Linked DNA regions of Rhinolophus ferrumequinum. The main gene of each other region encodes a partner of the protein of the gene in region 4 in a complex. Links are inferred from orthologs where the notes say so. Each region holds a gene or a part of one and is shown on either strand. Other genes may lie near its edges.

What was found.
Region 1: POLR1H (region 4) and POLR1F share a complex: the UniProt entries of both Homo sapiens proteins name them as parts of the RNA polymerase I (Pol I) complex. The link is inferred for Rhinolophus ferrumequinum from reciprocal best matches to the Homo sapiens genes POLR1H and POLR1F.
Region 2: POLR1H (region 4) and TAF1B share a complex: the UniProt entries of both Homo sapiens proteins name them as parts of the pol I pre-initiation complex. The link is inferred for Rhinolophus ferrumequinum from reciprocal best matches to the Homo sapiens genes POLR1H and TAF1B.
Region 3: POLR1H (region 4) and POLR1B share a complex: the UniProt entries of both Homo sapiens proteins name them as parts of the pol I pre-initiation complex. The link is inferred for Rhinolophus ferrumequinum from reciprocal best matches to the Homo sapiens genes POLR1H and POLR1B.

Annotation. Positions count from the first base shown.
Region 1 is NC_046303.1:19,977,670-19,984,615, reverse strand, and holds the start of POLR1F (DNA-directed RNA polymerase I subunit RPA43), read right to left. Parts: upstream 3,007-6,946; 5' UTR 2,984-3,006; coding exon 2,730-2,983; intron 1-2,729. UniProt on the Homo sapiens protein: Component of RNA polymerase I (Pol I), a DNA-dependent RNA polymerase which synthesizes ribosomal RNA precursors using the four ribonucleoside triphosphates as substrates.
Region 2 is NC_046296.1:65,800,273-65,808,116, forward strand, and holds the start of TAF1B (TATA box-binding protein-associated factor RNA polymerase I subunit B), read right to left. Parts: upstream 3,001-7,844; 5' UTR 2,778-3,000; coding exon 2,760-2,777; intron 1,430-2,759; coding exon 1,331-1,429; intron 1-1,330. UniProt on the Homo sapiens protein: Component of RNA polymerase I core factor complex that acts as a GTF2B/TFIIB-like factor and plays a key role in multiple steps during transcription initiation such as pre-initiation complex (PIC) assembly and postpolymerase recruitment events in polymerase I (Pol I) transcription.
Region 3 is NW_022680356.1:219,672-227,140, forward strand, and holds the start of POLR1B (DNA-directed RNA polymerase I subunit RPA2), read right to left. Parts: upstream 3,005-7,469; 5' UTR 2,885-3,004; coding exon 2,708-2,884; intron 1,754-2,707; coding exon 1,586-1,753; intron 1,349-1,585; coding exon 1,202-1,348; intron 81-1,201; coding exon 1-80. UniProt on the Homo sapiens protein: Catalytic core component of RNA polymerase I (Pol I), a DNA-dependent RNA polymerase which synthesizes ribosomal RNA precursors using the four ribonucleoside triphosphates as substrates.
Region 4 is NC_046286.1:687,270-694,196, forward strand, and holds the start of POLR1H (DNA-directed RNA polymerase I subunit RPA12), read left to right. Parts: upstream 1-3,906; 5' UTR 3,907-4,113; coding exon 4,114-4,121; intron 4,122-4,207; coding exon 4,208-4,362; intron 4,363-4,597; coding exon 4,598-4,698; intron 4,699-4,905; coding exon 4,906-5,015; intron 5,016-6,927. UniProt on the Homo sapiens protein: Core component of RNA polymerase I (Pol I), a DNA-dependent RNA polymerase which synthesizes ribosomal RNA precursors using the four ribonucleoside triphosphates as substrates. Can mediate Pol I proofreading of the nascent RNA transcript.

The DNA.
Region 1 (6,946 bases), on a different chromosome or scaffold from region 4:
TTACAAACACCTCAACACTATATACCTTTTCCCCTTTTTTGTTTTTCTGAAACCATCCTAAGTAGGTTTTAGGTCAGGATGGTAGCCTCACTTAAGATATTTACAGAACAATTAAATCAAGTTTAAGAGATGCTTAGATTGCACATTTAAGGCTTCTATAGAACTAGTGGGAGGGAACATATTTGCCACCTTCAAAAAACTTAAGAGCTGTCATATACAAGAGAAATAAGACTTGTTTTTTCTTGATGGCCTCTCAAAGATATAATTTAGTCCAAAAATAACGTGATTTTAGAAAACTACTTACTTTAAGCAGGCTTTTCAAAATCGAAATAGGTTATCTTTAAAAAAGGTGAAGTCTGTCAAATAGGGAGTGCTGTTGAGATAACCCAGACACTGATATAGGAGCCATTACCAGTTTCTCCCTTTTCATCATTTCTAAAACAAAGAGAAGCAAGTCCTCTTGATTCTACAGGGTGGCCCCAGTCTGCAAACATAAACAACTACACATGATAAACAATTGACTGAGATTACAATTCCTGCTATGTTCAATGTTTTGTGTCTCACTGGTAATGCACAGCTCAATGTGTGGTGCTAAAGTTGCACTGATTAAAGGATACAAGTGTGGGAGTAGGGAGAGTCCAGATCTGTTCAGAGTGCAAGCTGCTCCGCGTGGCCACATTGCCTAATTCAGTTATAGAAACTACCACTCAATCAGTCCTAGTCTCTCTGGTGTAATGGCCCCCTCCTATTGGAGACACTGTGGTGACTTTCCTCTAACCCAGGGGTGTCAAAACTGCAGCCCGCGGGCCAAATGTGGCCCGTGATCCATTGTTAACTGGCCTGCAGCAAATTCCAGAAATATATTTAGTTTACTTAAATAAACCAGGTGAGGCAATACGTACGTCACCTCGAGTGAGTGGCCCGGCCTTTTGTGTATTTTACCGCATATGGCCCTTGGTGAAAACCGTTGAAAAAAGTTTGGACACCCCTGCTCTAACCTGTCAGTGGAGGCATTAACTGATTACAGAAAGTTGTAAAATACAAACAATTGCCTATGTTTCCAGACTTTATGAGCACCTCATATATCCTTAAACCTCTCGAATTTTTCCTCTCTAATCATCTTTCTCATGGGCAATTATAACACTCTTATAATTGGTCTCCTCTCTTAATTGGTCTCCTAACTACTAGCTCACCCTCCTTAAACCATCATTGAATTCTTCCAAATCAGAATCAGAGTTGCGGCTTAGTTTCTTAAACTGCAGATTTGATAATGTCACAGAGATCAGGGATATGTACTACTCTCTCAAGAGTATGCCAAGTTTCAGAGTCAGAGGGTATTGGGCTAACCCAGCTGAAGGAAAACAAAACAAAACAGAAAAGCAAAACCGGGCACAGGCTGGAAGGGACGAGCAGAATGGCCATTCTTTGAGTTGTCCCCCATCAGGACACTCCCCACTCGCCCCAACTGCACCCATTGTCTTTCTTCTGACCAAAACCTTATCCACCTATTAAAATTCTTGGGTCAAAGCATTCTATTGTACATCTACTATCCATTTGTTTAGGTCACTCTTTTTGCCTGGAAGGTTACCATCTCCAGGTACCCTCCTCCGATCAAGTTGTTCTCAAAGGTTTTAAGGTTAAAATCACCACTCCTTCTCTTATTTATAATTTAGATTTCTGATGAATTTTTAACATTTTATTGGATTTGGCTTACATTATATCTCTACTAGAGCTTAAAGTTCCTTCAGGTACAGATCTTGTTTTTTCTTTGTTTTCCTACCCCAAGTCCCTAGTATACAAAATAGACACACAACAAGTGTGTGCTGGTGCTTGGAGGAAGTTGAACATTCTATTTGAATTCTTAACTTTGTGTAGGTTTCAGGATCCCTTGAGAAAGTGATGAAAGCTTTGTATACTCTGCTTAAGAAAATTGGCATAGGAAATTCCTGCAATTTCCCAGGGACTCCTGAAATTCCTGGAGGGTAACAACGAATCCCTAGGGAGCCCACTCACCCTTGCCTTTGAACCAAGTAGTCTAGAGGAGTAGCAAGGTACATCTATCTGCCCTGTCTCCCTAACCCTCTACCCTTGCAATTCGCAGAGTGTTTAAGGACTCTTGAATATCTCAATTTAAAAGCACCAGGTTTTTTCACCCTCAAGAGCAACAGGCAGGCCAGTCAAACTAAATAAACTGCCTGTTCTTAAAAACAAAACAAAATAAAACTCATAGTACTTCTCTCATCCCTGAGCAAGTACCAGGGCCAAAACAAACAAAAAAATAATAAAATCGTCCTTCATGGTTTACAAACAAAAATTGTACTAATGCTCCATGTGCAGTTTTCTATTGAACGAGAGAGAATCTACTGAAGTACTTCATTCCCAATTTTCATTGCCAAATGAGAAACTTACAGAACCGGGTTTAACGGGTCTCCAGACCCCTGGCCTATTCGTACCCTTACACGAGGGTGGTCGAGCGAGCTTCTTCCGCCAAGTCACCTTTACGTTTTCTTTCTTGTCTAAGGAGGTACTGGCCTTTCGAGAGAGCATCACGAGTCCAGGACGCCTCGGGACTCAGCTCAGGGTGGCCGGGGCGACGTTTCCCACGAGCCCCTTTTCTCCTGCGCCATCAGCACGTCCCCCTGAGGCCCGCTCCCGTACCCCAAGAAGGGGTGGCAAGCTACGTCGTGGCGTTGCCCGCTAGTTGAAGACAATGGCTCAAAGAGTGGTACCTTTCAGAATAGCGCAGGAGCTCCGCATCGAGCTGCTCGCGGATCCCGGTGCGTTTCCTGTTAAGGTAGCGTGGCGACAGCGCGATGTGCCTGCGGTGCGGCCCCACCACCAGGCAGGAGTAGCGGCTGTGTACGAGTGCGCAGGCAGCAGCGTACGTCGGCAGCTCCAGGCAAGGCAGCACGCCGGCCGCTCCCACGCCCGGCCCCTCGGAGGCCGCCCTCGGCCGCGGAGCCTCCGAACACCCGGCAGCCATGCGGCTCCCCAGGTTCCCCGCGGCGCGCCCGACTGACGCCAGCATCACCGCCCGTTGCCGGACTCGCCCTTTATACGTCACCGCCGGCGACCACGCCCCTAGGAAATCTCTCTCCTCGCGGGCGTTATGCAATTCTGACCAGCAGGGGGCAACCGCTTTGTCGCCCTGAGGTTCCTTACGAAGCATGCTCGAAGATCTGCAACCACCTAGTCTCTTACGGGCGGGCAAACCTGTGTTTTTGCTAATGTCCTCATTGGATGTAGTATGTAGACTGACTAAGGGGTACACTTTGATCATTGCCAACAGTAAGGTGGTCTGGTAGATTTTCCAAGCTTGGACTTGACGATGATAAATTTAAAAAGTCTGTAAGGAATATATTTTCCGCAGGGAACCCAATCCTAAAAAGCAGCCCAAATGCCTCAAATGCCACACATCTGAAAACGAACTCATCATCTCTCTTCAGCGCGTCTTCTTTTCTCGCTCTGTAATCACTGATTCAGAAAGTTGTACCGCCGCTGTCCGAATAGCTCAGTCCAGCTGTCATACTCGGGCCTCTTTTGTACCCCCAAATAACAATCGGCCCCAAGGCCTATGGTGCCAAAGCCAAAACACCAATCTCTTCGGACACTTCTTTCCATCCTCGCTTCCAAAACTATGAGACTGCATGTGGAAGCTTAGCCCAGTGGTCAAGAGGACACTAGAGCAGCCAGATTTTCTCGGAACACACAAATATGAACATGACTTGCCCTTCAAAGCCCACCTAGGTGCCCCATTTTCTTCAGCATAATACCGACTCCTTAATATGGCTCTTAAATTGCAGGTCCACCGTACTTTTTAATGACCTGCCCCCAGTAGTTTCATTCATCACACTTCACATTATTCGCTAGCCACTACCCATGGTCCTTGATCCACTTTTGGCCTTCTCCCTCTCCCTCTCCCAGCAAAGAATCTCTGTAACAATCTAAATATACAATAAGTTGTGCTTTTCTGAAATAAATTATAAAGTAGTTTGTGCCAGGTGCTCCAATTTTTATAGGAAATATGCACACATATGATTAGAAAAGAATCTATGTATAAATACCATGTATTAATATTAGGTATTTCTTGAGGGTGGGTTTAAGGCTTTTTTTACTCATTCAAATTTTCATATATTATTGTAATGAATGTGTATTGTTTTATACTAAAAAAAAAACAATCAGAAACTTAATGAGCAAAAGAATCCCTATTGTTGAAGAGTTTGGTTGTTACAAGAAACCCTCTATTTTTACACAGTTTCATATAGGGCCAGGTGAAGATTCTGAGTGCTAAAGTCACATCATTTGAGTCTGAATCCTGACTCTGCCACCTACTAGATGTGTGATATTAGGCATATTTCTTTCTTTTTTCTTGAAAGCTAAAATTATTAGGGTAGACTTTAACGAAGGGATGAAATTAGAAAGTTTGAGCTATGTGTAAAGGCTTAAAGAAAAGAATTTCATATAAAGGCATTCCAGGTAAAAAATGCCATTGCATCAGTTGACGTTTGCTGCCCAACAAACCACCCCCATATTTAGTGGCTTTAAATAACTGCTAATTTCGTTCATAATTCTGTGGGTACAAGTTTGGACTGAGCTCAGCTGTGGTCAGATGTGACTCCATGTGTCTCATCCTCCAGCAGGTTAGAGTGGGCTTTCTTTCTTGGCGGCCGTGCAGTTTCCTGAGGGACGGGGGAAGCACACACCACCTCTTGCCTAGATTCTGGAACTTACACAAGAGCAATCCAGTTCATGGAATGCTTCTGATCTCAAGTACTTTGTCCTTTGCCTGAGAGAGCATCAGAGGATACTTCTGTCATACACCTCACCTGATGGGGTATTGGAAGCCCCTCTGGATATAGAGTAATAATAATACTACTAGCAGGGAGGGTTTCACGACCCTTAAGAGTTGATTTTATTAAATTGGCAGAATGAGTGGCGATTTCATCAACCTTGTAACAATTACCACGATCGTCATCATCTTAGCTAAGCTTCAATACAAACCTGCTTTATACAAATCACCAACACAGAATCTTCATAGGTACTTATGCACTTATTACTTATTATATTTATTATACATATTTACAGATGAGGAGACTAGGTTCTAGGGAAAATTGGAAGATGTCAGCCCCGTGATGCTGGCAACCCCATCTGTATTGTTAACAGCTACAAGCCTAGGGCCGCACACATATTTCTTGAGTGAATGAATGAATGAATGACTTGCAGAAGAAGACACAGGTGTTTGTCAATTAAGAAATCTAAACCAGACATGAATTATTCCACAGCTCAGGCTGAGAATCACTAAAAATCATCATGTTTCCTGTACACAGAACCAAAGCTGATAAAGGAAGAAATTACAACAGTCAGGAAAATGGGTGGCTTATTTCTAAAAAGTGTTACGGTGGAAATCACGTCAAACTGGTAAATACTACTAGGGTTTCCAGGTGGGAATTCCCGCCCATTCGCAGGAATTTTTTTCGCTTTCCCGTTCCTAAATCCCGAGATACAAACTCTTTTCTGTTCTCTACGATGAATCGTTTCCACAAAGTGACAGCTGATACTACCAAACACCTGGGTTCAAGGAGCGGATTTTTCCGGATTTCCCAACCAACTTTTCTCGGGATTCGGGAAGGGGAAAACGAAAAAAAATTCCTAAGAACGGGCGGGAATTCCCGCCTGGAAACCCTAAATACTACCCTTTTAGCAGACGTGAGAACATTTCAAAAAAGCACCGTTTTTGGCCAAAGTAAGAGTGTGGGCAGTCTTGCAGAAAATAATTCAGGCAATATGACACGTCTGATAGGAGCCAGGTGCTAGAGTCAGGTTGTCTGGGTGTCGTCGGCACGGTCACCTTGGACAACTTGCCTAGTCTTTTTAAACTTCAACTTCCTAATCTGTACAGTAGAGGTATGATGGTATTGAGAAGTTGTGAGAATTAAAGAGATAATGACAGTTCAATACTAGGCACAGGGATTAGCCTACGTTAAATACTTAATAATATTTTTTTGAGTCCACAATCCACACTTCAGTTATAATATGTTTGCTTCAGCCTAATTAAGCCTTTAAAGCTGAATTTGGGAGCAGGAGCATACAACTTTCTTGGATGAAGAGCGAGGTAGAGCCCTGGCCTTAAGAGGAAAATTTGGATTAGACAATGAATAAAAACTGGAGAATGCCTTAGCCTCACCTCTGGGAATGATCCTTTTGTTTTGGAGTTCTTAAAATGATTATTAGCACCTCCTCTTCAATGCACTGCCATTATAAACAATCTATATACATAAGCATTTGATTCAGCTTAAAACAAATTAAAGCTTTCAATATAGTATCCTCTTAAAACGTTTTATTGATAAAATCAATTTTAGGTACGAACTAGATACTCTGAGAAACAAATTTGCAATTTCGTTTGTCAGTAGGAAGAATTAAAGTCGATACAATACAAACCACTTGTTTGAAATAAATGAGTTTAGTTTGGGAAATAGTAGTTTTCTTTCAGTAGTTGAATAAATTGTAAAATACACTGCTGCTGGGGAAAATACATGTTTAAAATTTGCCTAATGGGTTTTGGAAATGAAGAAACAAAAGCAAACAAAAATCGGAACACAATATAGATTCACCAGCTATTGGTTGATGCAGACCACTTGTAATTCACAGATATGTCAGCAGATGGCAAGCGTGAGCTTTCAGTTTGTAAAGTTTCGCCTTAGCCCTAAGAACTGCAGGGATGGCAAAAATCAAGGCAGCTATTGTGGTCGGCTTTTTTGTACCTCAGTCCTTCAAAAGAAGACTTGGGATCAATTTTTGAGTTTGATAGCCCTTTCTACTTTCTTATTAGATTGAACAAATCGATAATGTACACCACGCTTGCAATGAATAAAAAAATAACAGCACATTCTATTACATTTTATTGAACAGAATAGAGTTCATATTTTGCAAGCTGTGCTGTTGCTAC
Region 2 (7,844 bases), on a different chromosome or scaffold from region 4:
CTACCAGTCTGCCTTAACATGCATCAAAGCAGAGGATCAAACTACACATATTACAGTATACAATATGGTGTGTGTGTGTGTCCATGAATCCATCACCATAATCAAGAAAATAAACAGATCCATCACCCCAACCATTTCATTGAATGAGCACTTATATTTTTAATACTGTGTGACTAAATGGGAAGGACATAAGAATTGCTACTGCAGACAGAACAATGATTATCTCAGTCATCGAAAAGGAAAAGCTCTTGTGTGACTGAGTTGCAAGCTAACTTAACCACTTTTCTCAAGGGAAAATATTTTTTTACTTGTTTCATATATTTTCCCATGTTTTTAGTTATTTATGGTAGGAAGGTAAATCGGGTGCCTGTTACTCCATCTTGGCCAGCAGCAGAAGTCTACACAGTTACTTTCATCTATCCCAAATTTGCCTTTCTTAAGCCAATGTGGTGAAGGTAATATTTGTTCCTTCCTGGCTCTGTAGACTTTGAGCAAATCCTTTTCCAGAGAAGAGCCCTGGCATGTTTAGCCTGTCCAACAGCAGGCTGTCCATACCCTTGATTATTTTGGTTATTTTCCTGAAGATGTGTAACCAGAACAGGACCTAGCCCCCCACCGGGTGAAGGTAACCTCATTTACCAATGCCACATAGGACAGTATGACAATCTCTATTTTAAGAGGCAGGTGCAGTGGGTAAAATGAACACTCAACTCAGAAGACTCAGGTTCGATTCCTGGCTCAACACTTCATAATTGTGTGACTTTGGCAAACTCATTCTACTGGTGAGCCCTACTTGCTGTGTCTATAGATATGCATAATAGTATATATCTCAAATACTATTGTTACAAGGGGCAAATTCAATAATGGGTAAGAAAAGACTTGGTAATCTGTAAGGTACTGTACGAAGAAAAATAATAATGAAGCATATTTCCAATACTCTCAACAGTCCTCAATCTTTCTAACACTTCATCTTCCAAACCTCTAAGCTACCACGACACATTAAAAACTCTTAAATAAGTATTAACTAATAAAAAGAAATGCATCATCTTCTAAATACAATTTTAATTATTCCCCCTTAGACTATACTGTCTGAATCTGGAAATCATTTATATATAAACGGCCCAACATAATTTCAAAAACTCACTCTAAATCTAATTTACAAATTCCTTAACCCTTGTGTAAGCACTTGAAGACTATTTACATTCTTGGAATTTGGGCATTGCATGAGTGATTAAAAATAGATCAGTTCTTTAGGAACTATGACATATATCAGGCTGAAATTGCAATTTTTAAAACATGAGCAAATTTATACATGAGATTTGTTACTTACTTCTGTAACGTTGTGGCAAGAAGTGCAATAATATTTGCCTTCATCAGTAAGACCCCAAGAGACAGCAGCACACTGAGTACAGCGTTCTCTGAATTCTTTCTGCAGGACAAGAGGAAAACCACATTCAATGCATTGTCCCTAAAGCCTGCAATTCTACTACAGGGTTCCCTGCAATTTTACCCTATACATTAAAAATTATAGAAAACATATCAGAGAGATTATCTATAAATGGGGAGAAAAGAGATTCGGTTTCCTGAGCAGTTCGAAATGGAATTAAAATTTCTAAAATATGCAGTGTGTGAGGGAAAAAATGGGGGGGAAAAAGGTGGTAGGAGTAAAATGGAAAAAAAAAAGTGAGTAAATAAAACTTGAAAATGCTAGGATGAAAAAAGATGACAAGGTTTAAGTATAGAGAAGACTTAAAAATAGAAACAGCATACATTGTAACTTCCTCCAGGACACTAAACACATACTCGCTACAAAGGAACCAGATTTTTATTAGGGTTGTTTCCAGTTTCAACTTATTCATTCAGCAATACAAGGAGTATCAACTATGTAGTACCAGGAATTTAAGTGCTGGGGATTCAGTGGTGAGCAAACTAGACAGGATCCCTACTCATAGGTATACAGGCTGATGGTGAGTTATAATGATTAATGACATTAACTCAGCATTTACAGATGTTACCCATCCATCATTCAATACACATCTATTGAGCATCCACAATAAGTAAGGCCTTCTATTTCTATCATTCTTCTATACATACATAGACTGTTCCTAAATTACTGATTTCCAACTCTTTGGTGTTTGACATTATTATCTAATTATGATCTAATTATGGAATACTCCTTTAATAAAGAGTGCGGCATTTTATGTAGTATGTGGAAAATGAATGTCAAATTTATTTCGACAAGTTAGTCAAGTTTTTATTAACCCCCTATTGATAACTATCAATACTTGGAGTGTCCTCACAACCGAATTTGGAATCCCTGCACCAAACGGTGGCGAGGATTCCCGAAGACTGGCAGGGGTTACTTGGGGGCATTCAAGTTTCAACGCCGGCGCTCCCTCGCCCGCCCCAACATCAAAGGGAACTTGTAGGTGGTCCTCTCGAGAGAGGATGAGCCACGCGGGTGGCCACCCCACAAAACCCACAACTTCGTCCTTCTCCTGAAACACACCCATATCGGCTAATACCGCTCCCCCTTCACCCACAACCCCATCCTGCCAGAAACTCCATCCTCTTTCCCCAAATCGCAAGCTCACACGCCCGCCAGCCCCATTCCTTTCCCCGCCCCCCAGCGTTCCGCCCCGCCCTCCTTCGGCCTGGGGCCGCACCCACAGCGTGTCCGCGTCCTCCAACCCCTTCTCCTCAGTTTCATTCCCCTCCCGCCCCGCTGTCCCGACCCGCCCGGCTCACGGCCCGCTCACCGCCTCCTCTAGGTCCATAACAGTACCGCCTCCGACACAGCCCGGCCTGTTACTAGCGCAGCGAGTGCAGCTTCCGGGAGCAGCGGAAGCAGCCCTCCGGGGGGAAACTGAGACACTGACTTTGGGTTCCGGGCCTTACGGCTGCCGGGAAGGCTCCTGGGGAGAAGCTCGCAAATCCTGCATCCCTCTCCCAGACAGCATCCCCTTCCTGGTCGAGGTAACTGAAACCAACCAGTAAGAAACTGGGCGGTGCCTAATACGGAACTGATCCCTCACGCTCTCCTTTGAAAGCTGTTAATCCAACCGGTGTTGAATCAGTAAGACCCTCGTATTGATTCAGGCTGCAGGAGAAGCGATGGAGGCCCACGTTCTCGGACCGCTGGCACCTTCCACTTCGTACTGTCTTTTAATAGCACAGGAGAGACATAGGGTCCTGGAGGAAAGAATGCAGGTTGAGTTAGACCTGGGTTTCTAATCACGGCTTTTCTGCTTCCTTGTGCCTCAGTTTCCTTCTCTGTAAAAATTAGCTATTACCTATGAGTCCCTTCTAATTGAGCCTCACGTAGTAAGTGCTCATTAAATTTAGCTTTTAGTGTGCCTTCATTGGGCACATTCATTCCCTGATTTATTCGTTAGACCCTGAGGATTCAGCAGTGAACAAAGTAAACAAAAGTCCCTGCCTTCATGGAGGTTATATTTTTGGGGGTGAGAGACAAAAATAAATAAGGAAATACATGGTATGATAAATGGTGACGGGTACCAAGGAGAAAGCAGGATAGAGAATGGGAGCTATCAGATGGTTTCACTTTTTAATAGGGTGGTCAAGAAAAGTCTTACTGAGAAGATGACCTTGAAGGCAAGGAAGCAAGAGCCAAGTTGGGAACAGCATTCCAGTCAGAGGGAACAGTAAAGACAGTGCCCTGAGCCTCATGTCATATCATTTGAGGATCAGCAAGGTAGTCAGTAAGTGGCTGGAACAGTGAGCTAAAGGAAGAGTAGAAAATGTGATTGGGGCAAAATATGGTTTTAAGGAACTTGACTGGTGATGGAAGGAGAACTGACTCTGGGTGGTGAACACAGAATATGATTTATAGATGATGTAATACAGAATTGTACGCCTGAAATCTATGTAACTTTACTAACAACTGTCACCCCGATAAAATTTAATTAAAAAAAAAAAGAAAATGTGGTTGGGGCAAAATACGGTTTTAAGGAATTTGAGTTGGAGAAATTGGGGGAGCCACTGGAGGAGTTACATGATCTGACTTATGTTTCGCAGATTAGTCTGGCTGTTGTGGGGAGAACAGAGTGCTAGGCGGCAAAGGCAGAAGTTGGGAGACAAGTCAGGAGACTAATAGCCTAATCCAGACAAGTTATAATGGTAACTTGACCCAGGTAAAGGCAATGGAGACAGTGAGAAGTAGACAGAACCTGGAAGTACAGATTTTGAAGGTAGAGCCATAAGGATATTTCGATGGACAAGACGTGCGCTATAAGAGAGAGAAAGGAGTCAAGGATGATGTCAAGACCTTTGCCCTGAGCAACTGTAAGGGTGAAGCTATCACTGAGTAGGACTGTGTGTGGAACAGTTTGAGAGTGGGACAGAGGAAGATTAAGAATTTTATTTTGGACTTGTTATGTTAGAGCTATCTAGAGGACATCCAGGTAGGATGAGAAGGCAATTGGATATAGGAACCTAGAGTTCAGAGGCAAATTCTGGACTGGAAGTAAACATTTGGAAGTTATCTCTATCTAGATGGCATTTAAAGAGGCTAGATGAGATCACCAAGGGAGATCAAAATATGAAGATAGAAAGGCCTCTCAAATAAAAATGACATTTGAAAGGAAACATAAAAGAAATGGGGGACCCCGTCATGCAGATGTTTGGGGGATTAGCACTCCGGACCTAGACAGTAAGGTGGTCCTTAATAAGCCAGGAAGTGGTAGATGACCTGAGATCAGAGAGGTGGCCAGGGCCAGGCCATGACTCAAGTCTTGTGGTTTGTAGTAAGGACATCAGAGCTCATCCTCAGTAAGATGGAAAGCAGAAGCGTGACAGAAGCTGCCTCATATTTTAGATGGTTTCCTCTGGGCTATGGAGAATAGGTTGGAAGGGGGCGAAGGGGGAGCTGGGAGATCACTTAGGAGGCAACTGAAATAACCCAGGTGTGGGCTGTTATAGGGTGAGCATGGTGAGGCTGATGAGGAGTGGTCACCTTCAAAGGTATAAGCAGAAAGTCTTTCCTGATGGGTTGGATGTGGCGTGTGAGAGAAAGAGAGGAGTGAAAGATGACTGCAAAGTTTTGTGTCTGATCCTATCTAAGAATGCAGGTGCCATGTACTGAGGTGGGAGAAACTTTGGTGTAGGCTCATGATAGAGTTCAGATGTAAAAGTTGGGTTTATGTTTAAGTTAGTGATGCCTATTCGCTATCCAAAGGGCGATGCTAAGTATGCTGTGCAATACACGAGTTTGATGTTCAGGGGAAAAGTAACCACTGGATGTGTAACTGGGAGGCAGGAGCCTGGATAAAATATCAAGGGTATGAGTGTAGAGAGGACTGAGACCTGGGCACTGCAACATAGAGAAGTCGGGACCACAAAGGAGGATTGACAAAAGGGGGCTAAGAATGAATGCCCACAAGATAGAAGGAAAGTCCGGAGAGTGTGGATTCCTGGAAGCCAAGTGAAGAGAGTGTGTCCAAAAGGAGGATGCCATCAACTGTGTCACATGCTCCTGAGAACTGCAATGACCAGGTTGGGAAATGGGGTCATCAGTGACCTTGACAAGAGTGGCTTCATTGTTGGGGATAAAAGCCAAATAGAGTGAGTTCAATAGAAAATGGTGGAAGAGTGTGGGCCACTCTTGTGGGGGATTTGGTTGTAGACAGAAGCAAAGGAGCCGTAGCCGGTCGGTGATGTAAAATCAGGGAGATTTTTATGTGTTTGTCTGTTTTTGTCTCTTTGCTTGCTTAAGATGTCTATAAGCTGATAGAAATGAACTCTCAGAGAAAAATGATGGTGCAAAAGAGAGAGGGAATGATTTTAGGGGTCTGTCACTGAACTGGGGAGAGGGGATGGATCCACATGGGCAACTCGTGTGTGGCAGAACCAGGAAAGAAGGGGAGGCATTGGAGTCAGAGGCAGGCACTGGTGGGAACAAGGTGGAGGGCTCTTCTGATTGTTCCTCCTGAAATACGACGCAAGCCATTGCCGAGCATGGAAGTGGGAGGGTTGTACAAGGTCTGAGGAGAGAGCAGAGGTGTAATATCCCTTGGAAATGGGAGAGTTATATCAGAAATCTAGTAAATTGTCAGGGAGCATTAGGGGGCCCTGGACATCTGTGATCATAAATATAAAGATAAGGCCAGTCAACACACCCAGCCATTCAGCTGCTTACTTTGTTGAAACATCCCCTTTGCCCCAAAGGGACAAATTAAGTGCATCCACAACTTGGAAAATATCTGCTAGGTAGTATACTGCTGACAGCCACTTGTCATGGCAGGAATATGTGCCTTTTTGTTTAAAAAGATAACTTATCACAAGTCTGACAGGTCTTTTTGAGTATTTCGCCAGGAGATAATCAACAACCTTCTGTGTGGAACATAGGACTTTCACAGATATTCAGCTCACACAGATTACGGTAACAGTCCCATGGCGTCTGAAAGGTCTTGTGTGTATAAAATTAACCACATCCATGGTATTCTGCAGCAATGTGTGGACTCAACTTTTGCTGCCCTTCCTGCTGGTGATTGAGGCAGTGGATGGGTTACAACCAGCACACTGCCAACAGTCTTGTCTCAGAGTTCTTTATTATTTTATTCAAAGCAGACAATCCTCCGTGGTTACATGAACACAATTTTACCACAAAATATTGTGTTTATAAAAGAAATGATTTATTGCCCAGAGTATCTGCTGCTCCCTGGTGCCTCTTCCCATTAATGGTGCCTCAAAAGTAGTTTTTTCTACATGCTGTTAGTGACACAGAACCTAGAGACCCTCATGAACAGGGACTTGTTAGAAATATCTATATTTTATCCAACTATATCACAAACCTTCAAATTACAAACCTGTGTCTCTTGTTCTAATACTTGTTTCTTCTAAATTTTCAGCATTTTCTACACCTTCCAACAGTTTTTGCAACAGTATTTGTCATCTGTTATTTCAGCCATGTTTCTCATGGCAGAATGATAGAAAACAGGTAAATATAAAATGTAACTTTAGGGACTGATAAATGCTTTAAAGCTGGGTAGGTATATAGGGTGACAGGTGGGGGAAATGAACAGAGTTTGTTTAGGGTCATCAGAGAGACCTCTCTGAAGAGGGATCAGTTGAGCCAAGATGACAATGCAGTGAGAGCCTGGGGGGCTAAGTCCTAGGGAGAGTGAAAAGACCCTGCCTGAGGCAGGTCTGGACTTGGTGTGTTTGAGGAACAAAAGGAAGCCAGTGTGGCCGGAGGGTAACGGGTGAAAGGTAGAGTCATGGGCCTCGGGGTCAGAGCGTTGGGTAAGGCCCCGTTGCCACAGGTCTTCTGGACCCACAGGGTTGATATTTGGCCAGTACACCCATGAGGCCTGTACCACGTATTCCTTGTATGTCCCTCCTGGCTACCATCGTTGGCTCCCACCAAGGGAGGGAGAAGGGACGCCTGGTAGATCAACTAGTGGCCGTGGCTACCTGGTACTGCCCACTTAACCCATGCCTGCCTGTGGGGGTGGCGACCTTCACAGGGTTTGGGTTCAGAGAGAGCTGGGGAAAGCCTGGGGGAGCAGCCATGTGGGCCCCACACAGGCACTAGCCAGGCATTTGGGCCTCTGTTAGAATAGCAAGTATGGTCTGGGGGAGACTGGAGGAAGGAAAGGCCTGAGGACACCAGGGTGCTGCTTCCTCTTCTCCCCATTCTTACTGAATTGCACTTCTATTCGGGGGCATACATTTGTTCAAACCCAACACAGCCTTCCAGCCACGGGTACTGACAACTGGTTTTCTTAGTAAAGTGAGAGCTAATGCATATCTAGCATTTTCTGAGCCAGGCACCATTCTAAACATGTTACCTCATTTGAATATTATAATCATCAGCAGCCCCT
Region 3 (7,469 bases), on a different chromosome or scaffold from region 4:
ATGGGGAAATTTCTCCGAGGCATGATCAACATTCTGACGACCTTTTCGATGCCATTGACTATAAAATAGCCTCCCATTTCCTGCCAAAGAGACGACTTATCATGTTAAACAAAGATATGTCACTAACTTAAATGGGACACCAACTAACTGCAAACATCAAAGTCACTCCCACAGATGCGGTGTAATGTGCTGAGAGGGGCATACAGGTGACAGAGCCATGGGTCCCTGGGAAACTGTCAGTGTGTGAACTAAATCTTCTCAAGCACACAAAAAAGGTGCAGGGGCCTGGGAGGAAAGTATGGAAGGAAATCAAAGTACTTTCTCTACCAGACAGTCCTGACTTAACTTGCCTTTCTGTCCCCTAAAATGACTTCAGTTTTCAAATGACATTAAAACAAATAAAAAACGGTAACCATTTCGTTTCCAGATGAGTATGGTCCCAAACAAGGTAAAAAACTGCTGACTGTATGAAAGCTCTGGAAACCAGAAATTCAGACTATAGGAAAACATTTTTAATCGCTCCAATCAATATCACATTTCTGTAATAAACAGCTCCTATACTGATTGCCTACCATGAAGCAGGCATGCCATGCTAGTACACTGTGTTGTCATAATATGTCATTCTCACAACAACGAGTGGGGTAGCTACTGTGCCCGTTTTCAGCAGAGGAAACAGGCTCAGGAGACTGAACTGTCCAAAGCCACACGACTGGTAAGTGGAGCAGCTGAGTGTCAAACCCAGATGTGACAGTACAGCCCTCTTCCCACTGATAACACAGCTCTCCATGAAGGCACTCTGCATGTCTTGGTTACTGCAAAGCCATCTCACACAGCTAAAAGAAATGCCAAAGGGAAGGCATCTCAAGCATTTAATATGCTCAAAGAATCTTACTGTTGGCGAAGCAGACATTTTAGACAATAGTTTTGTGGATTAAGATGGCTTAAAAAATAAGTATGTCTCCAAATGGGTACCATTCAGAAAACTGGGGAAACTATCAATTCTCCCCGTAATACCCTCTACTGCATAGCCACTTTTTCACACTGTCTCATTTGAGACTCATCATGAACCATACACAATATCAGACAAGACATTAATGCCCCATTTTGCCTTTGCAGAAATGAAGCAGAGAAAGAAAAACTGGGTCCACACTCAGACCCCCGCCATCGCCACCTGGCTGCCCAGTGCCCGGAATGCGCTCACCTCTGGTTCCTCATGGTGTTCAATGAGGGCTTTGGGCGGAAGGCCGTACAAATTGCACAGCTTGGACTTCACCATGATGGGAACATAGCCAAGAAACTGCTTGATGACTCCTCTTGAGACTCCATTCACTGCCCAGCTGATATCGGCCTAAATGAAAACAATGACTTGAGAAAAAAGAAAATATTGGGATCTGCAAGAACAAATGAGCATTTTAAAAGAGGGAGGAGACCACAGATTAAATGATTTTATGCTTTTAGACTTAAAAGCTGGGATTTCTTGGATGATGGTACCAAGAAAGCAGAATTCTGGTTACACTTTATTGGGCACCAGCCTTATTCTCAGACATGTACAGCATGCGAGTCACACACTGTCACTTGCACTCACTGTCAACTTTCCCCGGTAGGTACTCCTCCGGCCTCGGCATTCTGCTGGATAAACGTTGAGCTCTTTGCAGATGCTTCCCTTGGGGACTGTGGGAGGACTGATGACAGCATCCACGACAGTGAGAGACACACGCTCCTCTTTGAAAGCAAATTCAAATGGAGGTACAGCCTGAAATGCAATTCACGCTATTAACTGCTTGCATGGCCAAGGCCCTCTTTCACTAAGACCCTTCTAAATCCCATGCATTTTCTACAAAACTATAATGCTAATGTGACACATCTAGATGACAGTGAAAACTACTTCCAGTCTACTCACACCCTCACTACGTACCTAAAACTAGAAGGCATTAACTCCAATATTTGAGTGTCTGCCACGTGTCAGATTCCTAGAAGGTCCTAGGAACGTATGTACACAGAACAAAGCTGTTCTCTGACCAAAGAGCCTGCCTACTCTCTTCTTACTTTGCATCCTCTATAAGCACAGCAAGACTAATGGGACTGCTGCCAAGGATATGGAAGCACCTCCTGATCCAGGACCAGACACTAATGCGATTCTTTATGCTGATATTTGTACAGTTCATCCAACTGTGGCCTCATACTGAGGCCAGAGTCATACAAAGAGGACGGTGGTCACCATCGTGGTTCTTCCCCTTACCCAGCTGCTGCTTTTCTGTACCACTCCCTGGGGGAAGCTTTGCTGTTCCACTGAGGAAAGGGCACCACTGAGCTCTCTTAGCATGTTAACCATGGACAACCAACTGTGGTTGAGAAGCACAGCCCAGGCGGACCACCTCCCCACTCTCTCAGCACCCAGAAACTGCTCTGCAAAATGCTACGGTTCCCAATCCCATATAAATCCACGAATCACGAATGCATCTTCCCCTGGTCGACTGGAGCCCAAGCCCCGCGCTGAGCCTGGCATAATCACGGAGCACCACCATTTGGGATTATACTGTGACCTCTCAGCCAACTCTCTGGGCCCTGTAGCCCGCCTCCTGGGTCTCCCCTTCCCTTTCTCCTCCCACCACGTCCGCCTCCGGCCTCGCAGGGCCCCTTTGCTCCGCCTGCCCGAGCGGCGCCAGCGAGCGCGGAGCTGGGAGGGCTCCTGAGGCGCCGCACTCACCTGCACCGCGTGGCCGAGCCCCTCGCGCACCGCGTAGTTGAAGGACTCGACGTGCGCCTGCGTCAGTTCCTGCAGCGCCGGCTTCTGCTGCTCCGGCGGGACCCCGTAAGAGGGGTCCGTCAAGTGCTTGAGGCTGGGCTCGCGGGGCAGGCCCCGCCACCGGCTGCCAGGATCCATGCGGCACCTGCACGCCTGCCTCCAGCCACTCTCCGAAGCACCGGAAGGAAGCACGGTGCCCACGGCCTCCTGGGAAATGTAGCTCTTCTACTTCCGCCGGAAATCTGCCCGTCCTTTACATAGGGCCGACTTGGAAGCGAAACCGTGGTGTGAAGGGGCCGGTGTACAACTGTACCGAGACGGTACGCTCCCGCCCCACTCAGCGTTGCCCTCTGGCTCTCGTTCCTTCCACCAGTAGAGGCTGGTGGAGAGCAGTCTTCAATGCGCCGCTATTTTCCCCGCGACCACTTCCCGATCATTGCTGATGCCCACCCTGGGCAGACCCCAGCCGCGTCTCGGCTTCTAGAAACAAGCTGGCTGACTGCCCTCTACCCCACTGGAATCGTGAGGGCACCTCGCGGAACGGTCAGGTGGTCTGCGCTCGCTGACGGCTTCCTTTGTCCTGGGGTCCGGCAGCCGCCACGGGGCCTCCCAGCCCTGTAGCCTCTCTGAGTCCTAGGAGCCACCATCTTTCCAGTGGGGATTTACCAAGGAGTGCCTCAACTCGTCTTCGTGTGTGTGTCTTTAACAGCCGCGTTCGCTATGGCGGGATGATCGACAGTAAACACACACACTTAAAATGGAACCCTTGGTAAGTTTACCTGTATGTCACCTGTGACGCCATCGCCACGATTCGGATAGAGTCAGTCCACCACTCCCAAGTAGCCTCCTGACCCTTGGGAATCCCTCCCTCGCGGCGATTTCATCTATATTCCTGATTGGTGGGCTTGCTTTTCCTGTAATGTCTTTGTCTGGTTTCCCTATCAGAGTTAACAGTGGCCTCACAGAACCACTTGGGACGTGTTCCCTCCTCTTCCATTTTTTGGATTGGTGTTAATTACTCTTCAAACACTTCGTAGAGTTCATCACTCAAGCTATCTGGTGCTGGGCTTTTCCATTTGGGAAGATATTTTGATCATTAATTCAGTCTCTTGTCAGGTCTATTCAGATTTTCTGTATCTTCTTTATAGTCACTTTCGTCAGTTTTGTATCTTTCTAGGAATGTGCCCGTAAATATCGATTATCTAATTTGTTGGCATACAACTGTTCATAGGATTCCCCTGTAATCCTACTTGTGTTGTAGTAATATACCCTCTCTCATTCCTCATTTTAGTAATTTAAGTTCTCTTTTTTTTCCTCCTTGCTCAGTCTAGCTAAAGTTTTGTCTATTTGATTGATCTTTTCAAAGCACTAACTTTTGGTCTTGTTGATTTCTTCTTTTTTTCTATTCTCTGTTTCATTTATTTCCATTCTAATCTTTATTATTTCTTTCTACTTTTTTGGGTTTCGTTTACTCTTTTTCTAGTTTCTGAAGGGGGAAGAAACCTAAAGGGTGTTGATTTGAGATTTCTTAAAGTTTATGGTGGTGACAATAGTTAGTAAAGTTACATAGATTTCAGCTGGAGATCTTTTTTTAATGTAGACATTTTAACATAAATTTCCCTTTAGGAACAGCTTTAGCTGCATTGCATAAGTTTTGGTATGTTCTCATTTTCATCTATCTCAAAGTATTCTAATTTCCCTTGTGATTTCTTTCTTTGATCCCATTATTTAGGGATCTCATTATTTAGGGATAATGAGATCCCTTTGATCTCATTATTTAGGACTGTGGTTTCAATTTCCACATATTTGTGATTTTCCCAAATCTATTTGTTAATGATTTCTCATTTATTTGATGTGGTCAGAGGACAGATGTAGCATAAGTTCAATCATTTTTAATTCACTGAGACTTGTAGTATGGTCTGGCATATGGTTTATCTCACAGAATATTCCACGTGTACTTGAGAAGAATGTGTATTTTGCTACTGTTGGATGGCAAGCTCTATAGATATTTGTTAGATTTAGTTGGTTTATAGTGTTTTCTACTTCCCGTTGATCTTCTATTTGTTCTATCCATTATTAAAAGTGGAGGATTGAAGGCTCCAACTAATATTATTGAACTTTCTCTTCAAATCTTCTATTTTTCCTTCATGTATCTGGGGGCTTTGTTGCTAGGTTCATATGTTTAGAATTAATTTGATGGATTGATCCTTTTATCATTAAAAAATGTCCTTTGCCTGTAGTCACAATTTTGTTTCTCAAAGCTTATTTTGTCAGGGGGAGGAGGATGGCAGATGAGGGTAATGGGGATCCCATGTATGGTGATGGAAAGAGAACTGACTCTGAGTGGTGAACACACAATGTGATATATAGATGATGTAATACAGAATGGTACACCTGAAATTTGTGCAACTTTACTAACAATTGTCACCCCAATAAGCTTCAATTAAAAAAAAAATTATTTTGTCTAATATTATTTGTCTACTATTAGTATGGCCGCTCAAGCTCTCCCTGAGTTACTGTTTGCATGGTATATCTTTTTCCATCCTTTTACTTTCACCTGCTTGTTGTTTCTTAGTCTAAAGTGCGTCTTCAGCAGATAGCACTTCAGAGTTGGATCATGGTTGTTTTGGCTTTTTAAAATCCATTTTGCCAATCTGTCTTTTGATTGGAGTGTTTAATCCATTTACATTTAATGAAACTACTGATAAGGTAGGGTTTATGTATGCCATTTTTGCTATTTGTTTTCTATTTGCCTTATATGCTCCCCGTTCCTTCATTACTGCCTTCTCTTTTGTTAAATAGGTATTTTCTAGTGTAACACTTTAGTTTCCTTGTCTTTTTTTTACTATATATTTAAAGTTATTTTCTTAGTGGTTGGTGTGTCTTGTTGTGGATCTCTTTGAGTCTATCCTACCTAGTTTGAATTTCTTGCATGCATTTTAATGTTTCTCGTCAAAGTGGGAAAGTTTTCTTCCAATGTTTCTTCCCCTCCCCTCTCTTCTAGGGCTCCTGTATGTATATATGCTGGTATACATCCACGCCTCTAGGTAGATCTCTGGAGCACTGTTTATTTTTCCTCATTCTTTTTTCTTTCTGTTCCTAAAACTGGATAATCTCAGTTGGCTTCAGATTTACCGATGGCTTCTTTTGCCAGCTCTAACTTGCTTTTGAACACCTCTACTGAATTTTTCATCGGCATCATTGTACTTGGTTCTATTTAAAATACAATTTCTATCTCTTTAATGATGATATGCCCTCTGATGACACATCGTTCTCAGTCTCATTTAGTTCTTCAAACACATTTTAAATAATTAAAGTCTGTGTAATGAGTCCAATGCCTGGGTTTCCTTAGGCACCGTGTCTATTGACTGCCTCTTTCCTCTGTGAGGCTTACTTTCTTTTTTCTTTGCATGTCCCATGATTTGTGTTGAAAATTGGAAAATTTTAATAATATAATCAGGCAACTTTGGAAACCAGATGTTCTCCCCTCTCCAGGATTAATTGTTGTAGCTCTTTGTGTTTTTAGTGACTTTGCTAAACTAAAGCTTGTATTCTTTCTTGGGTGTGGCCACTGAAGTCTCTGCTAAGTTAGCTTAGTGATTAACTAATGATTGAACAGATTTCCTTAAAAGCCTGGAGCCAGTAATTCTCCCAGTATTTGCCAAGGGGCCATGTGTGTGCGCGCACGCGCGTTTGGCATGCCCTCATGCTCAGGAAGGTGTTTTACAGCTCTGTCTTAGTCTTCACTTCCTGCTTGTGCAGATCCACCTGGTTAGAGATGAAAGCTAAGGGCACACACACAGCCCTACACATGTGTGTGGCCTTCCATATTCTTAGGAATGTTGAAGCTTTTCAAAACCTCCTATGGAAGTCTCAGTTAGGAGGGACAATCTGTTGACTTATGTATTGAATGACATGCTGGGTTCAGCCAGTGACGGCCACTTCTGGCCTGTTTTTGTATGGCCTATGTGCTAAGGATGTTTTGTATATTTTCTAAGAGTTGGGGAAGAGACAAAGAAGAAACTGCAACAGAGACCCCACATGGCTTACAAAGTCTAGAATATTTACTGTCTGGCCCTTTACAGAAAGTCTGCCTGTGGCTGGGTAACAGAATCATGGATTCAACCCACCAGTGAGTCCTAGGACAATCAACACCCACAATAAGACTATGAGACCTTAGGGGACAAAAACATTTGAAATATTATTACTTTAATGCCCCAGGCATTTTAAACATTCATAAGATCGCCGTTTTTCAGAAGTCATGTCTTCCTAGGTACAGAGCTTGTGTCCAGGATCAGAGCCAAGGGCACCACTGATTCCTTTAAAGCAGAACATGCTGTGGGGGCCACCCTGGTGCCTGACTTCTCTAGTGGAGTCCCCACCACACCCACAAGAGGGCTGGGTCCACTCTGCTTGACACAACCACAACTGCTCATGAAATACACTCTGTAGCTTCACTGTGCTGTGGTTCTGTGCATCCCGGACCGTCCCAGCACAACCACGTCTCCCACGTCTGTGACAGCTGTCCAGGGCGCAAGGGGGATAGCGTGTCGGCTGGTAAGTATGCCAGCACCTGCTCCACCGCATCAGGCACTGAGGCACTTGAATGTTCTGGGCAGAGTGGAGTTCGTAATCCCCTAGGAGTTAGTGTGAGGACAGGGGCTTTTCTCTCAGGAAGTAGTAACCTTAACATGTAGTTAGCAGATTGATAAGCCCCCGTCTG
Region 4 (6,927 bases):
ATAAATCTAGACTGCTGTGTTATCAGTTCTTCCTCTTTCTGCAGTTTCTTGATCTGTGCCCTCTGTGTCCCTATCAGCACACCTAGCATCTCTGTCCTCTAAATCTTGTTCTGAAATTCTGTTCCTCCTTGTATTGCCTATTCATCCCTCACCTTAAATCCATTATGAGACCATTCCCTGTTGAACCCTTTATGACCCACTTGTGTTTACTCTAGGTTTATTTACAGAACAGGCTGATCGCAACACAAGTGAAGATTACCAACTTTTTATGTCATCCTTGGTCTAATCTGAGTTTACTGTGAAGTCATATTTAAGTCACTGAAGATGCCTGGCATTTCACCTCTATGCCCTTTTTAAAAAAAAAAAAATACCATTTATGGTTAAAAGCATGGGCTTTGAAGCCTGACAGGCCTATGTTTGAATCCTCATTCCACCACTTCCCAGGTGTGTGACTCAGGGCAAGCAACTTAATCTCCTTCTACATCAGTTTCCTCATCTATAAAATGGATATGACAAAAATCTAATTCTCAGGGTAAATAAAAACAAATGTGAATTAGATTAAAGAGCTTGACACAATGCTTGATATATGGTAAGTTCTCAATAAATGCCAGTTGTCTATCCTCCATAGGTCAAGCCCCTAATTCTCTATAAAGTCTTTTTGGTTTACTCTATGTAACAGTGATTTTACCTTCTTCTGAACACTTAACATTTTTTACTTCTACAACTCATTTGAAAATCAGTCATGGTTTACACTGCGATATCTATATTCATATATCATTTCAAAATTTTAATGCTGAAATTTACACTCCTAAAGGGTGGGGATTATAATTTATGTCTACAAATACAATGATGTATCTATATAATCAGAAAGGATCTGATATTAAGTATTGGGTCTCACTGATCTCTTAGACACATTTTTATTTGCCTGATTATGTATAGCTATTTTGAGACTTCAGAAATTGCCATCTTACTTTTCTTTCTCAGTACATAGCATCTAACACAGTATTTAACATTAGATTCTGTGATCCCAAGTTCTCATAATGATTTATTGATTGGTGATTATCCTTATCACATAAAATCTGAGCATCTTTCTCTCTTATGTTCCCTGTAACATTATATTTATTTTTATTAAAACCGTTACAAGTTTTAAAATCCTCATTCCTGCCACACCCAGAGGGAGGTGGTAGTTCCAACTTGTAGTTTTATTGTACCAAGGGAATTCTCCCTATATCATATGCCTTTAAATGGAATTAACTTTTTAATTATATAGTAAAGACAAATACAAACTTTTTAAAACTGTGAAAAAATAGCAATGAAATTATAAACAAAAAAACGAGAATACATTCTGATGTGCAGAATATTATTTTTAATTTCCTTTTAGATTGTGAGTGTCTCGTACCCAGTTTCATGGGCACCTCTTGTCCCAAGCACACCCCACCTGCCTACCACCACAGCCCAAGTGTATTGTACTCACTCCCAGATGGAGAAGGAGTTAGGGAGAGTAGAGGCTGAGAGGATGGACCGCCCAAGTGCTGTGGGCCATAGGCTCCGCGCCTTCCAGGGAGACGGGAGGCCTGGTCCAGACAATCTTAATGGGACGCAAAAGCTAGACTTTGGTTTGTTTTTTGGGGGGAGTTATTGTTTTCCTTTAAGTTTCTTTTGTAATTTTGTTAGTTGGTAAATTCTGTGTGATCTTTTTCATAAAAAGAAAAAGCTATAATTGGAAAAGTAAAAAACAAAACAAAAGCATTTGCCAGTCTTCCCTGAACTATACAGGCATATTTGTTTTATATGACTGTCCTGGGTTCTCACATTTTGTCCCACTAATGTACTTTCATTGTATTCTAATTATTCATTTGTACTTTTTTTTTTATTATTAATTAATTTTTATTGGGGAACAGTGTGTTTCTCCAGGGCCCATCAGCTCCAAGTTGTTGTCCTTCAATCTAGTTGTGGAGGGCGCAGCTCACTGGCCCATGTGGGAATCGAACCGGCAACCCTGTTGTTCAGAGCTCGCGCTCTAACCGACTGAGCCATCCGGCCGCCCCTCATTTGTACTTTTTAAGGTCAGAGAACACACTTTTCAACTTTGCAGCCCCAGCCTCAGCTCAAAGATTGGCAATAGGTGCTTAATAAATACTAACTGAACAGACTGTGAGCTTTGGTTGGAAAAGCACCATGCCTTCTAAAGCTGGTGCTGTTCCTTTACTGCATTAGAACAGTGTTCAACTCATGGCGGGTCTTCAATGAAAAGGGAAAGTTGGTGAAAATTTCCATTTTCAAAGGAGACACACACACAGAAAAGTGAAAATAAATATTGTCTATCATCATGGGCCCAGCAACTGACCTCCCTGTGTAAGACAGGGAACAAGACACCCAAGTAAGTAAAATTATGGGGCTTGTCACTCGCTGGTAGCTTGCTTAGAGTTCTAAACCTTCAACTATTGTTTCTTTCCATTATTGCAGAGAAAAGAAGACCAGAGCCTTTCTCAAGGAGAGACCACAGCTTGTCTCTTTCAGAGGAGAAAATACTGATGGCTCCAGAACTTTTATATGTAAGGATCTTAGCAGTTATCTGATTGGGTGGGGATGGAAGGGCCGGGAAGTAACTAGGAAACTCATCCAGAAGCTATCCCTTTAGGACAAGTTTCTACTTTAGATTGTATTTACAGATGATTGAAAATAGCAAGATTTTCTAAAGATATTTGTCCTCACGTTTTCCAAAAGATTTGGGAAACGTCAACTGTCCACATAATGGAGGATGATGATGATTGAGAGTTCGTTGGATGGGAGGTGAGGGACGAGGTGGACGTAGGTCTGCAACTGAAAGCCAAACTTGACCTAAGTCTTAATGAAATCCTATCCAAGGCTGCTCCTTTGACTAATGGTAGTGTCTAAGGAGGGGCGGTCCCAACAACCTCTTCTGTTTTGCCACCTCCAATGTCCTGAGCCACTCCTCAAGTGTCCCCTTTCATTGCGGCTTCCTGTCCTTCCCAGGGACTAACCATTTCTCCTCCACTTCCACCCTCACCACTTCCTGCCCCTTAAGAAGCTGATTGAGGCCCGCAGGGCAGCTCAGGTGGTTGCCCAGCAGTGCTTCTAATTCTGAGGTCCCCAGTCCCACATGGGCCGGTGAGCTGCGCCCTCTTCAGCTCAGATTGTGAACAACAGCTCTCCTTGGAGCTGGGCTGCTGTGTGCCGCCATGGGCTACCATGAGCTGCTGTGAGTGGCCAACCTAGCCACCAGCGACCAACTGCCTCAGCTGTGGGGAAGCGCAAAGCTCATAACACCAGCATGGGCCAGGGAGCTGTGTCCTACACAACTAGACTGAGAAACAGTGGCTTAAACCAGAGTGTGTGGGGGGAGGCGGAAGAAGGGGGATAAAAGGAAAAAAAAAAGCTGACTTACCCCTTCCAAAGGCGCGGAAGAGGCCTTTGGCTCCCAAATCACGGGAGCCATTTGGGTTCTGCCTAAGACCCTGTGTGGCCCGGGAGGTGCAAGGAACACTAGAACTTCCGAAATGCTTAGTTTTGTTTTTAGCCACTGCGCAGCCGCAAAAGCGAAATAAAGGCCCAAGAACGGCGGGAATTGTAGCTCTCTATTCCAAATTAATATTTGGTAAGGTTAGTACGATTTTGGGGGGGAATGTCTGCCCCCCCCACCCCACCCCCATCCCCGCCTCACTGGGTGCGAGACCAAGAAAATAAACATCCCAGGTTTGGGTCCTGAGGGGAAAAGTAGAGAGAGGCGCAGCATCGATTACCCGTTTTCTTACCCGAAGTCGCAGAACGAAGCTGAAGGTGGCGCTGCAACCTTCCTGCAGAGAGGCTCCTCTCCTTCAATTAAGATTCTCAGGATCACGTTTGCGATTAATGATGACGTCACAGCCCAGTGAGGCGGACCGCGTCGACGCTCTAGCCCGCCGGGCGCTCGCTGCCCCGCTGCCTGTGCAGAGTAGGCGCTCTAGTCCGCGGAGTTAGCTTCCTCTTCTCGCCAGCGCGGGGGAAGAGCCCTCCATCCGGCGGTACCAGACGCGGGCTGGGAATTCCGGGTGCTCGGTTCCCTCGGTCCCAGAGACACGAGACGTGCGTGGGAGGAGGGCTCGCGTTTGTATGCTTAGGTCCAGGAACGGAATAGGAATGACCCCTGAGTGGGGAGGGGGCTACTTTCTCTCTTTTGTTAATAACCTTCTCATCCCCTTCCCAGCCCTCGACCCCCGTCTGTCATGGACCTCGCCGGCACCTGCTCCAGCTTTCAGTCGGACCTGGATTTCTGTCCTGATTGCGGCTCGGTCCTGCCTCTGCCAGGAACTCAGGATACAGTCACTTGTACGCGCTGTGGCTTCTCCGTCAACGTGCGAGGTGAGGGGCTTCTCCGCAGGGGCCCGGGCTGAGGGCCCAGTATGGAAGGGTCGGCGGCTTGGAGACCTCCAGATCGGTTCGATTGGAGGGGGACTCTAAAGCAGGAGATCAAGTGCTTACACTTTTCGTCTTGGGACGAAACCTGAAGGGAACGGTGTAGAGTAGGGCCACCTGGGAGTTGTGCGCGTCAGCTACTTCAGCGTGTTTGTACAACTAGTTTTTACTGCCTGCGCAGACTTCGAAGGGAAGGTTGTGAAGACCTCAGTTGTGTTCCACAAACTGGGGACGGTCATGCCTATGTCGGTGGAGGAAGGACCTGAATGCCAGGGACCCGTGGTAAGTTAAGGATATCAAGGACGGCCCCATAAGGAGGGTGGGAATGAAACGGAGGGGTGATTGCTGAGATCTGGAGAGCTTTGTACCCAGTTCCAAGTGGGAAGAGGAGCGTTTAGAGCAGCAGTGTCCGAGGAGTGTTATAGCCTGCTTCCTGTGAGAAGGAGCGGGGTATGACTAGGCCTCCTTAACCCACCAGTTGCTTCCCAGGTTGACAGGCGCTGCTCTCGATGCGGTCACGAGGGAATGGCATACCACACCAGACAAATGCGCTCAGCTGATGAAGGGCAGACTGTCTTCTACACCTGTACCAACTGCAAGTGGGTAACTTTACCTTGCTTCTCCCCTTTCTAAGTCCGTTTGCTAACCAAACTAATCCAGGGGTTTACTTTTTGCACTGAATAAACAATTGTTTCTTTTGGTCCCATCCATTTCTATACAGTTCAAGAAATAATAGGGAGATTTGTGGTCGTTTTTATTTTTCAAAATTACATGTATCCTTTTACTAGCCAGTGAACTAAACCTTTTAAGATACTTAAAAGGAAATGAAAAATACAGAAAGCCAGTATTGCTTAGGGGTTAGCATGTTATGTGGGAATATTCCACTGCACTCAAGGAAGTTGTACTTGGGAATTAGTGGAGTATGATTTAAAGAACATGGGCTCTCTGATGATTTTAGGAACTCCTCTTTGCCTTTGGTGTTCTGCAGTTTCATTACAATTTATCAAGATGCGGTTTTCTTTTATTCATCCTATTTGGGATTTGTTGAACTTTTTGAAACTGAGGATTGATTTTTCTTTTTTCCCATCAACCTGGGAAAGTTATCAGCCATTATGTCATTGAATATTGCTTTTCCCTCATGACCTCAATTCTCACATTCTGGAATTCTAATTAAAGAGCTGTTTATTAGACCATCTATCCTCCATTCCTCTGTCTTTCATATTTTCCATCTCTTTTTATGCTGCTTCTGGGTAATTTCTTCAGGTCTCTCTTCCAGGTCACTAATTCTGTCTTCAGTTTATTTCAATTATTACGTTAAATTTTTTGAGTTCTACTTGATCATTTTTCAAATCTCAGTCATCTTAAAGAATTCCTGATTCCTTAATCATCTTTTATTTTTTAATTTTTTATTGGGGAGTGTTGGGGAACAGTGTGTTTTTCTAGGGCCCATCAGCTCCAAGTCAGTTCATTGTCCTCCAATATAGTTGTGGAGGATGCATGCAGCTCACTGGCTCATGTGGGAATCGAACCGACAGCTCTGTTGGTAAGATCTTGTGCTCTAACCAACTGAGCCACCTGGCCGCCCCTGAATCATCTTTTAATTGCACTTTTTATTCTTAAAATATTTATTACGTGTAAATATATTAAACATGGCTATTTATAGTCTGTCTCTGATAATTCCAGTACCTAGTGTTTTTCTGGGTCTGATGCTGCTGTCTGTTATTTCTGCTGACTTTCATGGTGCTTTGTTTTGTGATTTTTGACTGTTCGGATTTTTTTTAGAATTTGAACTATGGGAATTCTTTGAGGCCTGGGTTGAATGCCATTGTCTCAGCATTTGTGTATCTTGTTAAGGTGCCTTGAGGCACTACCAAGACAGAATCACTTTTAAATAAATTCTTGGCTTCAGGATTTTTTGGACTACACAGCTAGTATGAATCTGAGCTGCAAATCCATGTAAGGACCAGCTTTTTCTTTCTCTACCTAGTGAGACAAATTCCCCTTTTATAGAGTTAAATTTGTTTTTTTTTTTCCTATTCACTTTTACAGAGGGGTAGCCCCTTGGAGGTCCCAAATTTATGCAGAATATCTATCAGACATTGTATTACAGGTTTTTCTTTTGTTCCTTCATATTGCTGTCAAAACAGCAAGGGCGCCATCGTAGCAGGGGCTTCAGTTTTACCTGTTTAGTTTCCTGATTTTATATCATTTTACCAGTGTGAAGATTGCCTTTACTTTCTTGCCATCTCATCAATGGATTAAAAAATATTTATTGTTAGATACATCTTTTAAGAATATTTTCCCTAGTCTTACCTATTTATTTTCTTAACTTATTTTTTTAAATGAGCAGAAGTTTTTGATTTTTATCAGGTTCAGTTTATCCTTTTTCCTTTATGGCTACTGCTTTTTGTGTCCCAAGAAATCTTTGCATACAAGTCTGACAATTAAGTTCGTGAACTTGCCACCATGTGCTTACACTGGCAGCACTGTACAAACAGCTCAGGTTTGATA